Linked DNA regions of Arabidopsis thaliana. The protein of the gene in region 2 interacts with the protein of the main gene of each other region in a pairwise test. Each region holds a gene or a part of one and is shown on either strand. Other genes may lie near its edges.

Region 1 (7,031 bases), on a different chromosome or scaffold from region 2:
CTAATCTCCCAGCTCGGTTCGTCGATTTCGAAGAAATTTTCTTATTGCTTGTCTCACAAGTCAGCTACCACGAATGGCACAAGCGTCATAAACCTAGGCACTAACTCGATTCCTTCAAGTCTAAGCAAAGACTCCGGCGTGGTATCAACTCCGTTGGTCGATAAAGAGCCTCTTACTTACTACTACTTGACGCTTGAAGCCATCTCCGTCGGGAAGAAAAAGATTCCTTACACCGGAAGCTCGTATAACCCAAACGACGACGGAATACTCTCGGAGACATCTGGAAACATCATCATCGACTCTGGAACGACACTGACCCTCCTCGAAGCTGGTTTCTTTGACAAATTTAGCTCGGCGGTGGAGGAATCAGTGACCGGAGCCAAGCGCGTGAGTGATCCACAAGGGCTTTTGTCTCACTGTTTCAAATCCGGAAGTGCAGAGATCGGTTTGCCGGAGATAACGGTGCATTTCACGGGTGCAGATGTGAGGCTGAGTCCGATCAACGCATTCGTGAAACTGAGTGAAGACATGGTTTGCTTGAGTATGGTTCCGACCACCGAGGTTGCCATCTATGGGAACTTTGCTCAGATGGATTTCCTAGTTGGGTATGACTTGGAGACGAGGACGGTGTCGTTTCAACACATGGATTGCTCTGCGAATTTGTGATTTGACGGCGTCGTATCGAGCTTATTTTATATTGTCCATGATAATCATTTGTTTGTTATGGAGATGTAAAATCAGAATCAAAGCTTAAAAATTATCCTTGCTAGTAAAAATAATTACCTTCTTTCTATATTGATCTTCTCATCGATATTATATGATTGGTTTCAACTAGTTCCGAAGTACACAACATGTATAATAAAACTTAAGAAAGCAAACAAGAAAGTATTATGATAGAGAAATTATTCAGATTCTTAGGAACAGTGTTTCTACAATGGATGGTCATATACATTTTAATCTCATGATCAGATCAATTGAGGCGTGTCACCAATCTACCAATTCAAAGTAAAAAAAAAAAAAAAAAAAGGTACCGACTATGAATGGCTCGAGAACTTTGTACTGTAAAACTGAAAAGGAACTCTGAAAAGAGAAGGCAGACAGACTTTGTGAACGTGAGATCAATCGGAGCTGGAGTCGTAGAAGTCGCTGGGGCAAGGAGTCATAACTTCGGATTCAAGTAACTGGACGACTCTGTGCATTGTTGGCCGCTCATCTGGACTTGACGACACACACTTTGTTGCTATTGATAGAAGTGCGTCGAGACTCTCTCTCTCCACTCCTTCACAGCTTAGATCAACAATCTCCTTTGCCCGGTTTTCGCTGATTAAGAAGTTTAGCTGCAAGATTATAAAAAACAAAATTTAAGCTTTTACTAGTCAATATTATTATCTAAGCTGGATCTCGTTATGCTTACCCAACCAACAATGTTAAAGCCTTTCTCGATGAATGAGGCATCCGTGGGAAGTTTACCACTCAAGACTTCAAGAACCAAAACCCCGAAGCTGTAAACATCGGTTTTCTCAGTCGCTCTACCGCTTTGCATATACTCTGCAAAAAACACTCATTATGAGTTCACGGATTTAGGTCCTAACAGATAGTAACAACAAGTAATAAGCATTGTTATTACTGTGTAATTGAGTACCTGGAGCCAAGTAACCGAATGTGCCTGCAACAATGGTTGTAATATGAGATTCTTCGTCCTCTAACAACTTGGCAAGCCCAAAGTCTGATACCCGAGCCTCCAGATTTCCATCCAGTAAGATGTTGCTTGATTTTATATCACGGTGTATAATCCTAGGAGAACAATCATGATGCAAGTATGCCAACCCTTTTGCCGCTCCTATTATGATATTAACTCGCGAATCCCAATCCAGCTGCTCGCCTCTCTCTACACATTCAAAAATTTCACTTAATAGAATCATAATTCTCCGTTAAGGAAACCCGTAAATATGAAGTTGAGGGTTTACTATGTAGAGCTTCATCAAGGCTACCACCAGGAAGGTAATCATATAGCAGAAGCTTTGATGTGGGTGAATTGCAGTATCCACGTAGATTCACAAGGTAACGATGTTTGATGCTCCCAAGAATCTCAAGCTCCCTTTCAAAAAACCGATCAAAACCTTCATTTAACTTAACAATTCTTTTCAGCGCAAAAACATTGCCATCGTCCATAGACAGCTTGTACACTGTGCCAAAGCCTCCACAGCCTATTATGTGCTCTTCATTAAGAGATTCCAGTTTCTTGATAATGTCTTTGGAAGCGTAGGGCAAATCTCCATGGAACATCACTATAGACGCACCTGGATAGAAAAAATCGTCTCTTATGGTGTCAAGTTTTGAGAGAAAAATATAACTCTTAGAGAGAATATCTACAATATGAGTCAGCATGGCTCACCTCCACCGACATCTATCACAAGGCTTTTACTCTCAACTCTACCAAGCTTTTTATAGAGAAAGCATCCCCAGAAACACATGAGCGCCACTAGGAGCAGCCCACCCACAGTAGCTGAAGCACTTATAAGCAGCCTTTTAGGGTTATTACCTCCTTGGCCTATAACACGGGAGAAACCAAAAAGCAAACTCATTTCACGCCAAATACTACAGATTTCTCAAAAATTAAGTTATAATCCATATATCCTGACAAGAAATTGATTAAAACACAGTTGCTTTACCTGTTGGAGACCCAGAAGCTGTAGAATTTCCACTGTCATTGCACACAATATCGATTTGTTTTCCACACAAGTTACGATTTCCGTTGAAGCTGCAAGAGTGATTCAACAGTTTACGACTTGGTTATTTTCAGCTACACTGCTGCAAAGCTAGTAACAGGGTGCTATCGTACACAACGTCACAAAAAAAATTATAACTGCTTTGCCAGATCAACCGTAGAAAGATTTATCAACCATAATTTACAAAAATTTGGTTGGGGAAATGGGTATATATAAATTATACTTACGAGTCCCTCGAGAGTCTAGCGAGTAGGCCGTCAGAAGGTATTTTTCCCACCAGGAAATTGTTTGAGACATTGCTTCAAAAGAAGATCAACATAGTTAGTAACATTGACACTCATATATCTACAGGACTGCAAAATAAAATACGCAAGTTAGAGATTAGCAACTCACAATTTAGTAAGCCTTTTCAACTGCCCAAGTGAAGCAGGGATAGCTCCATTGAGATTGTTGTTTGAGAGGTCCCTTCATAAATGAGAGTCAAAAATCATAGTAGTTCAGAAGAATGTAGATGATATGCCCATTTAATATGAAAGAAGCCTAGCATAGATTTACAATTCTCATCATCATATTTGAGAGTTTTTCACCCGGAAAAAATAACACAATACGTGATTAAATATAAGTTATGTCAAACTCCCTATAATTTTTAGGGTTCACCACGACTGTAGAAATAAGTACTTTCGAAAACATTATGTTGTTGCTGCATGGAAGATCAGAAGAACCTCTTGTAGTTCACAATATAATTATAGAGGATACTAAATGGTGAGAGTAGATAGCAGAACAACAAATAGCAGATCCTAGAGAGGCTAAGAAAACAAATCCACTTGGAAGAACGAGGAAAAAAACCACGTACAGGTTTTTCAGCCCGGACAGGTTTCCTATTTCACTTGGGATTGTCCCAGTGATGTAATTATTCTGCAAGTATCTGCAAGGAATAAAAGGACAATAAATTATAAAAGATTCACAACGATTCTTGTCAACTAGCTAAACTTGTGACTGAGTTTATCATCACTCACAAGACGCATCAATATTATGCACCAACTATATAGAAGCAAATAAAGAAAAACACTAGTAATTGTTAGGAAATAATATAAAATTTGGAAAAACAAAACGAGAATTCGATCAGCAATGAAGTGTAATCACACTAATCAGCATAAGTATTTGGGAAAGCCCTTACATTCCCTCTAATGCCGTGCAATTTCCCAATGAGGCAGGTATTGATTGATATAACGCATTGTTGTGAAGCATTCTGCAATGACATGGGAATACACATACAATGAGTAGTAGAGCATATGCTAGACATCAATAATATTAATTAAAAGGTTAGGAGCACATACAAAAGCCTTAACTGATCCAGCTTTCCAAGCTCAGGGGGTAAAGGTCCCCTTAATTTGTGATAAGTAAGACTCCTGCACACAAGAAACTTCAGGAACCGACAAAAGATGCACCACATACTGAAGAAAAAAAAAGAATTTAAACTAAAGAAATTTTAAACTTACAAGGCTATAACTCTTTTTGTTTTTGCATCACAGGTCACTCCTTTCCAGTTACATGGATCAGGATCCTCTGGTCTCCACAGACCAATAACACCATCAGAAGCCAAAACTCCATTTCTAAAACTCAAAAGCGCCTCACCTGGAGAAAAAAAGGATTTAATCCCTTCAGCAATCTGGGCGGAGTAAATGGTGATCATGACTTGTCAAAGACAAAATATAGAAGAGATTAAAGACACATATCGCTGTATACCATCAGGACTAATTGCTTCATTTTCATTCGTTAGTGCAGAGAGAAACGAGATCAAAAGAAACCATGAGCAGCAGCGCTTCATTAGACAGATGCCCATTATGGCACCGTTCAAGCATAATATAGCTACTGCCAATCATCTGAAAGAACAGCCTCCGGAATGCAACACTCGTAGCATATACTCAGCTGCTCCGTGACGCCCAGTCTATCTTCAAGAAACAAAAAGAGACTCCTGAAGTTAAATAAAATAATGTCATTAGACCGTACAACAATAACAGCTGACCCTCATTTGAAACTCTATCAAGCCTCGATCTTCCAATAATCAGACAACCAAATCCTCAATTACAAATCAAGCGTTCCACAACATCGATGCACAACATTTGCATGGTCTCATTAACAATTACAGCACCCAGAACAGTGAGATTATCTAATCGGATCAAATCCACCTCCCAAATTTGCAAAATCAGAAATCGAACCTTCAGAATAAAACCCCAACTCATTATTTAAAGAGGAGCTCGGATAGCTAAAATCGAACTTAAATCACGAAATTCGGAGGACATCATTGCAATCACAGCACAAGAAGAACTGAAGAGTCAACAAAACCATTCAATAATCTAAAAAAACGAAATCGATTCGCCGATAACTCAGACCAAAATCTCACTTCCCCCAAAAAAATGGCGAAAGAGAATGGGAATTTACACGAACCTCAAAATGGATCCGCGAGGAGGAAGATGAAGATGAAGAATAAGACAGAGGAAGAAGACGCAATTGAGCTGTAAAGCAATGTCTTAACTAACAACTTTTTTTTTTTTGTTGTTGTTGTGATTTATGAGAGAGTGAAGAGAGAGAAAGTAGAGTGTGCAGTGGAAATGTGAGATACTTTGGAGAAGGAATCGGCTAGTTACGAGTTTACGACCAATGAGAGAGGAGAAGTGGAGACCACACGTGCCGATCATGACTTATTACACGTGTCGACCGACGCATTGTATAATGCCAGAACTGGACAAGGGCTTGTTGGGTCAGTTAAAACATCGTTATTGCGTGGGCCTACTAAAGCCCATTGTTATTTATTTGGAAGCGTACTGTACTTTACTATCTTTAGGGACAATTCTTGTATTTTCAGCTTTAGCGGATCTTATTCACCTAAATCAAACAAACAAGTGTACTTAAAAATGGAACAAACAATGGACTGATAATCATTATTTCATTTGCTTTTATAATAGAAATCAAAATATTAATATTGGATTCAATCTTTCCACGTAACTTCTTGTTTTGGTAATTTCATCTATGATTCTTATAAATTTGGTACCATTGTAAAAATATGGCTTAAATTTGAGTTGTTGTTTCATGTGTTAGCAGTAGACAAGAAAAGATATCTGGAGATAGAGAGTTACATCACCTAAGACATGAGGATGGAGATGGAAAAGGTGTAAGGTGTGGTGTGGCTTAAATATTCTTGTACTAATTATCAATCAAAGTTTGTTTGAAATTTGAGTATTTGTATTCTGAATTTGAATTAGATATTTCAAATATATTAAAATCCAAAGCGAAATCAGATCCTAGCATAAATATTTAGGATATTAAAATAATAAATTTTAACTAGTTTTTAAATCATAAAATACACAATGTTTTTGAACTTCCATAATCAAACTAATAAATCCATTTTGGTTTACGTGTCTAGTTTTATAGAAAATGACTATTTATTTGTATTTTATAGAAGAAAAGATAATCCAATAAGTAAGTAATAATAACTCATGATTTTGTTGATTTTTTAAAATAAATATTTTTATAACTAAAAATGAGTTATTCATTTCAAAATATTACTTTATTTTCTTAGAAATTAATAGATTGTTAATGTAAATATATTTTGAAAATATTTACAGAACCAACAATAGGAAAATTCAGTACTGTTAATCATTTCCTAAAATAGTTTGAAAATGCCGATCTCTCCACGTGGAGAAAGCAAAAGAAAAACGCTCGTTTTAAGATTTGAAATAATCGCGCGTGTAAACATTTCCAATCAAAACGCGCGTGAAGGGTTTTTAACAAAAAAATTACACCACCGATTTAAACGTAGAAACCAAAATTCCCCCACTCTCTCTCTCTCATTACGCTCCACCCTACTCTTCTTTTTTGTCCTTCTCTCTCTCTCTCTTGCCGGCACTAACAACACGAAGAAATTTTTTTGAAAAGAGAGAGAAAGTTTCCAAGAGACCGTACGAAGAAAAAAAAAACTTGGTATAGATCGATAAGATCGATACCGTCGGAGAGATAATTTCGTGGAGTAATGTCGACGGAGGATGAGAAGTTATTGAAGGAGGCGAAAAAACTTCCTTGGGAGGATCGGCTTGGGCATAAGAATTGGAAAGTTAGGAACGAAGCTAACGTCGATTTAGCTTCTGTTTTTGATTCGATTACTGATCCTAAGGACCCTCGTCTTCGCGATTTTGGTGAGTTTCTCTACCTCGTTTTTTTATTATTATTATGTTAGGGTTTTTGTTTTTGAAGCTCAGATCTGATTAGGGTGGTTTATATCGGTGTGGATCTGTTTTGAATTTG
Region 2 (4,015 bases):
TCATTCTAAAATCCAAATGATGACCACTATTAGGCCTAATAGTCATTTCTTCAACCTGAAATAAAAAAGTATTGATTGACATGAAATGCTTGTAGGTTTCTAATTTATGTAGCATATATTTTTTCTATTTGTTTTTCTGATCAAATATCGTAGCATATATCATATTTCTCTGGATGTAATATAACATGTAATTTTTTCCATCGTATAATGGATAGTTGTCGTAAACTAAACTTTAATTTATGTTGTTCGTTACGTTATGGACTAAACCTTCTGATTCAATATCTAAGCAAATCGAAAGTAGTTTTCATGTTATCGTTTGTTTTTATGTGTGTGTAAATATATATATGGCTAATATTTGTATACTGCGAAATGTAGAAATGTACATATGTTATATATTTTCATGGATATAAACTTTCCTTGACATTACAGGAGATAGATATATAGATAGCCATTACAAATTCAAATTTGGATTGAGTGCACTTAATGCTAGTAACACTTATATCCAAAAAAACAAAAAAAATTGGCTACAAATTCTCAGGGAAACATTTATAAATAAAAGATAAAAAAATAATATAGTTGATATTAAAACCCAAAAAAAGAAAGAAAGAAAGAATATTTAGTAATATCATTATTTAAGAAAATGTAACAACCATTTTCCAAAACAATAAAAAACGATTATATATATATATATATATATATATATATATATATATATATATTATTGTAAATGAAAAAAATTGGTAGGAAGATTTGCTTTGTCTTAACTTGGGGCGATGAATATACTTTCATCGTTCATCAGGTACACGGTCGGTCCATGAAACCCGGAAAACCCAGTTGGAGACAGTTCTCTTCCTCAAACTCTTGATCCTATCATGACTGCTTTTTGAAATCACTCTTCTACTATCTGTTGACTCTACGTACTCTTTGAGCCTCTTCATCGCCAAATCAAGCGTATCTTCACTCATGTTGGCGAAACAAACCCTAAACCAACCCGGTTCAGTACAATGGCACGATGAACCAGGTGAAATATTCAGCTTGACGTCATATACAATCTTCTTCCATAGCTCAAGTTCTGCTTCGAATGTGTTTGTGTCCAAAAGATGTCTCATGTCAACCCAACAGAACAAACCAGCGTTGCTTTTAAGACAAGTAATCCCTGCAGCTTCTAGACCGGACACGAGTTTCTTCTGACGAATCTTGAGTCTTTTCTGGTTTTCGTCGAGGTATGTACTTGTGAACTTCTTGTCTGAAAGCAATGCAGAGAGAAGGTACTGTGTTTGAGAAGACACGAGACCGAAACTTGACATTTTTGTTGCAGCGGAAACAACCATTTCGTCGTTGGAGTAAATTGCTCCTACGCGAAAACCTGGTAAACCGAGATCTTTGGAAAGACTATAAACAATATGAACTCGTTTGGAGACTTCGCTGTTCTCGAGGTTCTTGTCTTTTAAGACATCCATGACACTTACAAACTGTTCAAACCCAAAAACGGTACCTGAATAGATCTCGTCGCTTATGAGATGAATGTTTTTGGAAGTAATGAAGTCAACGAGAAGGTTAAGTTCTCTTCTGGTCAACATTGTGCCAAGAGGGTTAGACGGGTTGGTAACAAGAACTCCTTTGACCTTAAGATCAAGCTTTTGAGCTTGTTGATAAGCTTGTTGAAGAGCTGACTCTGTTATTTGGAACCCATTAGAGCTTGAGCAATGAATAGGTACGATCTCTGCTCCCGTTCTCCATTTCAAGTCTCTATCGAATCTGTATGCATAAGCGAATCAAATACTATCAGCTCAGGTTTCTTGTGAGGCAAGTAATTAAATAAAAAAACCTAAAAAATTACCCTGGATAGTAAGGAGTTGGTAAAAGGAAAGCGTCCCCGGGTTCGGCGAGACAAAACATGAGAGTTTCGTTGGCAGATGTTGAACCAGCAGCTAGGACAATCTTGCTTGGATCAAATGTTACTCTATTTCCTCTGATTTCCTCCATAAACTCTGCCAAAGCCTATAGATAAATAAACCCTATTAAGTTAGTTACTCGCTTCTTGATCGAGTTACTTATGAAGGTGAAAAAAAATTAATTACTTACTTTCTTGAATTCGGGTAGGCCATGATAGTCTTGAAAGAGAGCAAGCTCTTTGAAAATGGATTGGCCGTCCTTTTTTAGTCCGGCTGCGTCCGGATTCTTAGCTAACCATGTCTCTATGAGATCAAAACATAGCTGCATGCATATTAAAAACATCGTATTAAACACCCAAAAATATACAATAATTAAAGATTGGTCGATTGGTCGAAAACTCGTAGTTATAGTTACCTGATTTTCGGCAAGACCCATTTGAATAATCCCATTAGGGTTCTTGATTTCGTCGTAAGGGTTCTTCTCGTATTCTTCCCATCCCAAGAAGTAGGAAGAGTCTTGTCCATGAGCATTGCTTGTCACTTTTCTCGACAGTTGTTTCATTTTTTGATATAAAAATCAAAAAGAATGTTTGGTTTATTGAAAGATGACTAATGAAGAATGGGAGAACGGTAAATGAGAGAGATATGTTGAATTAGGTTTTAGTTAGTTGGTGAAGACTGAAGAGTGAGATGTGGAATGTGGTTGCTTGTGGGAGCTATATATATATATACTTCCGTTTTTTACTTGACGTCACGTAGCTAGTAATTTATTAGTAATCATTTATCGTCAGTTAGTATATATTTTGCTAATCTTATACTACAAATCTAAAGAAAATCTCTCTTCCTATCTCTATATAAAGTTAAATTGAAAAAGACTCAACAATTATTTCAAATTTTGAAGTATGTGTGAAATTGGGTTAATTAAAAACAGAAGTAGACTAAAACGTTATAAAATTTTAGAGGAAGTAGAATAATATTGTTTAACCCTCACTATATATATTATTACACAAACACATGAGAGATATAAAGAAAACGATAATAATGATAATTGGATAGGTGAAGTAGAATAGAGAAAAGAGAAAGCTTGACACATAGTTAAACAAAACAAAATTAGTTTTGTCCATAAAACGCGTTTTCGGTCACCGCCCATACATACATGACAATGAATTAGCGACCAAAACAATACAAAATCTATTTTTAGATCGAATGTCATGATATTGTGTTGGGGATTTCACCAATTGTGTTTCGGGAGTTATCTGAGATGTTTATGATTATTACTGCGGTTATGCTTATAATACAAAACTAGTGGACATTAGAGATATTAAATCTGAAGAAAAAGTGGCCGCCAAATTGAAAATAAATAGTAAATTTTGATTGGGAGTTTTGGGAATTTGAATATCTCCGAAGCCAGTAAGACTAAGCTTAGAAAAAATTTTAAGATCCATTTCGGATTTGGACATTTAGATCCGAACTCGATAATTTCATGATCATGCCACTAGGGTTAATCAGACACAAGGTCCAAATTAAAAAAAAAAGTGTATTATTCACAATTTCTGGTTATGAATCTTTTGATTTAAAGATGTTATTGTTTCTAATTTACAATTTTTTTTTGACGATTTTAATAAAAGCATACAAAATAAAGAATAGAAAGATTCTAAATTATTGTTAGATCTAGAGAGTTTTCTATAATCTTGTTGATTAGTTTTCCACAATCTTATAAAGTTTTCCAAATAATCTTTCTATTTTAATGATATTTTTGATGACTTTATTTTGTAAAGGAAAATATCAAAAGTTATAAACTAATAACATAATAATTTAATTCATTAATAATCATAAATTCTTTTATTTTAATTGAATAACACAAAAATTTTATTGACTTTCTAAAAGTATGAATCAAATAACTGCATGAAAATTTTAGATCGCATTTTACAAATTTTAAACTAATACACTAGATTTTAATAAACTTTTAAAAAATTTTAACTGAATAACAACAGATTCTATATAACATTTAAATCACAAAAACTCTATTTAATTCGCACACAAATAACATCCCACTGTATATATCATCACGTGCTTGCCCAAAAAAATTAAAAAATAAACGAGCCCATAATAAATGGGCC

What was found.
Region 1: the proteins of ACS9 (region 2) and FEI2 interact in a two-hybrid assay, tested with the Arabidopsis thaliana proteins (one study listed by BioGRID).

What each region holds. Positions count from the first base shown.
Region 1 is NC_003071.7:14,960,069-14,967,099, forward strand, and holds FEI2 (Leucine-rich repeat protein kinase family protein), read right to left. Parts: upstream 5,371-7,031; 5' UTR 5,178-5,370; exon of another isoform or gene 4,949-5,177; intron 4,705-4,948; 5' UTR 4,573-4,704; coding exon 4,476-4,572; intron 4,365-4,475; coding exon 4,229-4,364; intron 4,139-4,228; coding exon 4,067-4,138; intron 3,979-4,066; coding exon 3,907-3,978; intron 3,655-3,906; coding exon 3,583-3,654; intron 3,195-3,582; coding exon 3,123-3,194; intron 3,029-3,122; coding exon 2,957-3,028; intron 2,762-2,956; coding exon 2,673-2,761; intron 2,552-2,672; coding exon 2,396-2,551; intron 2,301-2,395; coding exon 1,968-2,300; intron 1,889-1,967; coding exon 1,643-1,888; intron 1,549-1,642; coding exon 1,415-1,548; intron 1,338-1,414; coding exon 1,119-1,337; 3' UTR 783-1,118; downstream 1-782. Other genes in the region: AT2G35615 (Eukaryotic aspartyl protease family protein), read left to right, coding at 1-666; MOR1 (ARM repeat superfamily protein), read left to right, coding at 6,760-6,922. UniProt on the Arabidopsis thaliana protein: Involved in the signaling pathway that regulates cell wall function, including cellulose biosynthesis, likely via an 1-aminocyclopropane-1-carboxylic acid (ACC)-mediated signal (a precursor of ethylene).
Region 2 is NC_003074.8:18,433,685-18,437,699, forward strand, and holds ACS9 (1-aminocyclopropane-1-carboxylate synthase 9), read right to left. Parts: upstream 2,458-4,015; coding exon 2,311-2,457; intron 2,218-2,310; coding exon 2,086-2,217; intron 2,002-2,085; coding exon 1,841-2,001; intron 1,759-1,840; coding exon 786-1,758; 3' UTR 765-785; downstream 1-764. UniProt on the Arabidopsis thaliana protein: 1-aminocyclopropane-1-carboxylate synthase (ACS) enzymes catalyze the conversion of S-adenosyl-L-methionine (SAM) into 1-aminocyclopropane-1-carboxylate (ACC), a direct precursor of ethylene.